Regions from separate parts of the Mus musculus genome. Here region 2 is reported to be linked to region 1. The links are microRNA targets in miRTarBase. Many come from high-throughput screens and were not tested one by one. Region 1 holds a microRNA gene; the other region holds the end of a gene's coding sequence.

What was found. Region 1 holds the annotated microRNA mmu-miR-19b-3p (UGUGCAAAUCCAUGCAAAACUGA, at 1,898-1,920, opposite strand). A microRNA usually pairs through its seed, bases 2 to 8, with sites in the 3' UTR of a target mRNA and lowers its output. Matches are read on the target gene's strand: a 7mer-m8 pairs with bases 2 to 8, a 7mer-A1 pairs with bases 2 to 7 and ends in A, and an 8mer does both.
Region 2: miRTarBase lists Hecw2 as a target of mmu-miR-19b-3p. Seed matches in the 3' UTR shown: 7mer-m8 at 1,441-1,447.

What each region holds. Positions count from the first base shown.
Region 1 is chrX:52,740,094-52,743,247 of GRCm38, forward strand. Mir19b-2 (microRNA 19b-2) reads right to left here and starts at 1,973; the gene lies at 1,890-1,973. Mir363 (microRNA 363) reads right to left here and starts at 1,674; the gene lies at 1,600-1,674. Mir92-2 (microRNA 92-2) reads right to left here and starts at 1,835; the gene lies at 1,745-1,835. Mir20b (microRNA 20b) reads right to left here and starts at 2,099; the gene lies at 2,020-2,099. It also overlaps Mir18b, Mir106a and Kis2.
Region 2 is chr1:53,810,622-53,813,703 of GRCm38, reverse strand. Hecw2 (HECT, C2 and WW domain containing E3 ubiquitin protein ligase 2) reads left to right here. Exons shown (of 29, transcript NM_001001883.3): 29 at 371-3,082. The coding sequence ends at 482. Among named protein-coding and RNA genes, the nearest start is that of Stk17b, 27 kb to the right of the region's middle.

The sequences.
Region 1 (3,154 bases):
ACAGTCACTCTCTGGAGATGGGACTGGCAGGGTTTTCAGTAGTGATAAAACCAAAGACTCAACGCAAACTTAAATTCCAGTTATATTCAAATGTTCCTTCAAGACATACCCTATAAAATTTGTTTTCAGCTCAGTGGGGGAAGGGCACTTGCCATCGGGCCTAAGAAATCTAAGATGTATGTCCATGACCCACATGACTAGCTCCCTACAGTTGTTCTCAAATCACCACATGACACACACACTAAATAAGTAGATAGATAGATAGATAGATAGATAGATAGATAGATAGATAGATAGATAGATAAATGTATGTAAATGCTGGAAGTCTAGGAGTGGAGGGGTGCCTACCTTTAATCTCAGCATTCTAGAAGCAGAAACACACAGATCTCCGCAAGTTCAAGGCTAGCCTAGTTTACAAATTGAGTTCCAAGCTAACCAGAGCTACATACCAAGACGCTATTTTAGAAAAGCCAATAGTATTGCTAATTTAAAAAGAGAGCCATTGCCATATCCAGGGATCCATCCCATAATCAGCTTCCAAACGCTGACACCATTGCATACACTAGCAAGATTTTCCTGAAAGGACCCAGATATAGCTGTCTCTTGTGAGACTATGCTGGGGCCTAGCAAACACAGAAGTGGATGATCACAGTCAGCTATTGGATGGATCACAGGGTCCCCAATGGAGGAGCTAGAGAAAGTACCCAAGGAGCTAAAGGGATCTGCAACCCTATAGGTGGAACAACAATATGAACTAACCAGTACCCCGGAGCTCTTGTCTCTAGCTGCATATGTATCAAAAGATGGCCTAGTCAGCCATCACTGGAAAGAGAGGCCCTTTGGACTTGCAAACTTTATATGCCCCAGTACAGGGGAACGCCAGGGCCAAAAAGGGGGAGTGGGTGGGTAGGGGAGTGGGGGTGGGTGGGTATGGGGGACTTTTGGGATAGCATTGGAAATGTAAACGAGGAAAATACCTAATAAAAAAAAAGAGAGAAAAAAAAGAGAGCCCCAGGCTGGAGAGATGGCTCAGTGGTTAAGAGCACTGACTGCTCTTCCAGCGGTACTGAGTTCAAATCCCAGCAACCACATGGTGGCTCACAACCATCTGGAATGGGGTCTGATGCCACCTTCTGGTGTCTATGGAGACAGCTACAGTGTACTTGTCATATAATAAATAAATAAATAAATAAATAAATAGAATCTTTTAAAAAAGAAAAAAGAAACCCATTTTTTTTCAGACTTATATATCAGCTTTATTTTGCAAATTTCAGGTTTGTTTACATTCAGTGCAATCAAAATGTCAGGATTTCAAATATATTTAAAAATATGTAGTTTTAAAAAATTAGACTCCAAGCTGGGCGTGGTGGCGCACGCCTTTGATCCCAGCACTTGGGAGGCAGAGGCAGGCAGATTTCTGAGTTCGAGGCCACCCTGAGTGAGTTCCAGGACAGCCAGGGCTATACAGAGAAACTCTGTCTTGAAAAACCAAAAAAAAAAAAAAAAAATCCACTCCAAATGTGTTCAAAGCAATGACTAGCTAAAGGATTTTACAATCTTACTATAGCACTGATAGACGGCTGTCCACATAGGTCCTGCGGTTTACAGATGGATACCGTGCAATTTTCCTCCTATTACACCAACCAAAATTGCATCGTGTTCCACCTGATAACAGCAAAACAGTTCATTTCATAATTACAGTCTAACATAACTTACAATACTCAGAAACTAAAAGACGATTAAAAACCCTCTTTCTTCCTCAGGCCGGGACAAGTGCAATACTTTATATCTAACACAAGTAATGCCACCAATCCCCACCTGTGGATGAATGGGCATGGATGCTGAAGATGTGCATAAAGGTGTCCATTACGATGCAGAAAGGTACACATTCCCACAATCAGTTTTGCATGGATTTGCACAGCCATATATTCACATATACGCTGAACTGCAAATCTGCAAAACTAATCGTAAGTAGCAATGTCCTTGCGCTGTAGTTGCTTCAACAAGACCTTGGTTGATCCAGGAGTACTAGAAGTGCTCACACTGCAGTAGAGTGGTATAAAAACTACCTGCACTATGAGCACTTTGGCACTACTAGGATCCGAGCTTGTTCTTCTACACAACTGTATACTACAGTCTCCGCCATCTGTTTCTCGGCGAAACACTGAAAGAGCCTTTGAAACTTGTGCCGTTCAAATCATTTCTCAAGATATGCTTTTCAAATGCAAGGTAAGAAGTAGCCTGTGCGAGAAGGGGCATTTAGGGCAGTAGATTGTAAGCTGCTTCACTAACAGCACTAGATGCACCTTAACACAAGAGACACATTACAAGGAGCAGCTCAAAAACATCCACAATCTAACTATGCAGAAACCAGGGGACTCAGCGGCCTCTGATTAAATCACCATGGTAATGTAAGAAGTGCTGGCACTGCAGTAGAACTCAAAAAGCTACCTGCACTGTTAGCACTTTGACATGGCCAAGGCATACTCCAGGAGTGTAACCTTGAAGTCTTCCACGAACTCTTCTTTGCCAGATCTGCAGACTCACCTGGATAAACACACACACACACACACAGCAAGTAAGTGAACTGTGAGTTACTATTTCTAAAACAAGTTTGCCTTCCGTTAAGAGTGCAAATGGGGTTGTGTTACTTCAAACATTAATAAGCTCAATTATTTACACAGACTTAAACATGAATAACACTGGCAATCTCAGAATGTCTGACTCTTAAGAGTAAGAGGATTTTGGACTCCCTCTCCGTCTAAGGAAATTTGAGATTCGCATCCCAGAAAATTTGCAGAGCTGTAATATCCACCATGGTTTTCTAAGAGGCAAGAGCCCAGGAAAAGATGTAAGCAAAAAAATAAATAAATAACATTAGGGTGAGTACTGACGTCTTGAGCTCATCCAGAGCTTTGGGGAGCCACTCGGAAGGTCTCTATGTTTGATTACATGAAGCATCCCTGCCCCCAGCCCATTAAGAGAAAATGATAGAAATTTCAGAGCCGCTTTAAGAAACAGTTTTACACTCTTCACATACCGCACAGATGGCCTAGAGATGTCACATTTTCATCTATTTCAAAGGGCTCTACTTCTGTTTAAACATTTATGGACCCATTTTCTCCATTAAACCTAAAGAAGTCAGATTAGCTCT
Region 2 (3,082 bases), not on the chromosome of region 1:
CTTCTTCCTTCCTCCTACCCTCCTCATGGTCCTTTCTGAGCCAAGCCCTCAAAACTTCAATCCCACCTCTGTCTCTTCTGGCCAGCTGTTGGCTGTTGGCATTTTTATTTACCAATCGCAGTTAACTGGGGACTGGGTCACAGGGGCTACTAAGTTGAAATATCTTCACTTTTTCCCAAGTAGCCGTGAAAATGGTAACAAATAAATTTGAATATGAAAGAGACACACTCTTAGTACATGCACACATGTGCGCGAGCATGCGCACACTCAAGCATGCACGCACGCACGCACGCACGCATGCACGCGCACAGGAGCATGGACTTTGTTTGCTCAGCCCCTCTGCTAAATGATGTGCTTTTTCTATTTGCAGAGCCCACACTTGTTTTAACCGCCTGGATCTGCCTCCATACCCTTCCTTTTCCATGCTTTATGAAAAACTCTTGACAGCAGTTGAAGAGACCAGTACCTTTGGACTTGAGTGACCTGGAAGCATGATGCTCAGCTCTTCATGGCCAGGCGGTTCTAGAAGCTGGCCTCCCGAAAAGTGGACACAGCATTGGTAGCCTCAAGCCTTGGCTTCCATTATAACAAACTGAGTGCTGCTTTCCGGGAACACATGCTCCTGTGTTTGGGGACTGGCTGTGAGTTCTTTTGGAAGGATTGGGGTGAGCTTGGTGCCCATGGAACAACCCAACAGTCTTTCAGTCAACAGTTCTTGACTGCCAAACCTTTCCCATTTGGTCCCATGTTCCAAGATAAAAGAAGAACCTGCACATGATAAACTCCATGGTGACTTTTAGGGACTCAGGAGAATCTTGAAACTCTCCCATACATAACACTTCAAGCCAAACTGGCAGCACTGACCCAATCTCTAAATTAGCGCAAGTGAAATGAAATCATTAAAAAAATATATATTTCCTGAAAGTACATTTGTTTAAGCCCTAAGTTATAGCAGAATATTTATTTCTTGCTTATGAGTGCCTGCATGGTGTGCACTATAGGTTTCAACCTTCACAGGACAAGTGTGAAAAAGGAAACCAAGTCATTATGCGATAACTTTAAAGATAAGGTGGTCTGTGACAATGTATATGCAAGTGGTATGTGTGTAATTATGGCTGAAGACAAACTTACTCAATGAATCACTAATGACCGATTTTATGCTTTATAATGCATGAAAACAATTTTAAAATATCTAGCAATTAATCACAGCATATCGGGAAAATGTACACAGTGAATTCTGTTTATTTTTTATAGGTTCATCATATTTCTGTTCTTTAAGATGTATATAAGGACCTACCTACCATATTGTATGTACCACCTCTCCATCTTCATGTTCCATGCTTACTCGGGCATCTTGTTAGTATGTACCCTTTTAAGCACGCTCAAGGGAACTAAAGGGCCTTTTATTCTTATAAAAGTTTAAAAAAATCCCCAAAATATTTTGCACTGAAAGTACCAAAGGCGAAGGGACACTACAATATGACTAACAGCAGCTCCATCAGTTGACGACTACAATAGAAGTAGCTTTTAAATCAGACTTCCTTCACAGTTGCCATGTCAACCACTGCAAGGACTGTGCATCTAAGTAATAATTTTGTAAGACTCACTCTATGTGATAGTATGATATGCATTTATTTAAAATGCATTAGACTCTCTTCCATCCATCAACTACTTTACAGGATGGCATTTATTACTGATATTTCGTATTTCCCCCACTGCTTCTTATTTGTACAGCATCATTAAACACTGAGCTTGGTTAGGGAGCCATCAGCAATGCCGGAGAGATCAGCTCTCTTTCATAGTAAGAGTTCCATTTTCTCACATCAGTGAAGGTACCATACATTGAAACTCTCAGTACTATATTTCTAAGCCTGCATTTTCACTGATGTATAATTTTCTTATTAATATCAAGAAAAAATTTTGTATGGTCTCTCAGAAACTGCATGTCATCACTGACGGGTCTCCTTAATCTGATGAAAAGGATTTCCTTCATTTCGATTGCTTTGGGGACTGTTCCGTGTTGTTGTTTGTCCCTTGACTTGTGACCACAACTAATCAGACACATGTACAGTGAAGTGGAATTGAGGTGGGTAAGACCATTAGCTTAACATTTAATTTGCCAGCCTGAGGGGTTTACAGGCATTACCTGAACACTGCTTTGAGAATTTCTTTATAGGTATCATGGGCTTCCTGTTGTGGGATGTGGGTAACTTTACATTTTATACGGGTTACATACATCGTCTTCATAGGTGTTTTGTAAGAACAGTTACACGCCTGTTTGTGAAGCTGTGTTTACTGTTGGGACCCTCAAGAACAATGACACTCATGTTCTGCTATTGTGTTAAAGATAAGTCCTGGATATGGGAAAATGTTCTAGGAGAAAACAAATTACAGAAACCTGGAAAAGATATATGGAATATTTATTTGTATATCATAATTGGGCCAGAAAAAAAGAATGACTAAAATTTTTGACTGGAATTATTAGTTTGTACTTATTTGTCATGAATACAGTATATATTTAATTTTTGCAAACTGCTTTTACTCGTTTGTATTTTTTCATCATAAGGAAAACAGAGCATGCTAATACATTTTTAAAATCACATTTCGCTTCGTCAGAGCATTCCCTAAGAGTTGTCACAGGGGCCTGTTAAGAGAGAGCTGCCTTTCTTTCAAAAATACATTTATAGGCCACATTAGTGCTCCTTTGGTTTGAGACACTTTGCCACCATATGCCATATTACTAGGCAGAAGAGATTTCAAATAAAATATACCTCTTTAACTATTTCTAATAAACGTTGTTTGCTGTTGATGCTAAGGCAGCCAACTTCTCAAATAACAGTTTTAAATGTATCCAGACACTCTTAAAGTGGTAGGACTTGTCCTAGTTGGCACTGTTCTCAGAATTGGGAATTATCAAATTGTAGCTAGCATATTAGAAGACTGTGTTAACCCATTATTCTTCATAGGCAAAACAAAAACAAAAAAAAGACAATAATATCTCTATAAAAGTTAAATAACACATCCACAGAATAAATTAGCTGTTATTGTACCCTACAATTAGAAATATTCATAAATATGCTTT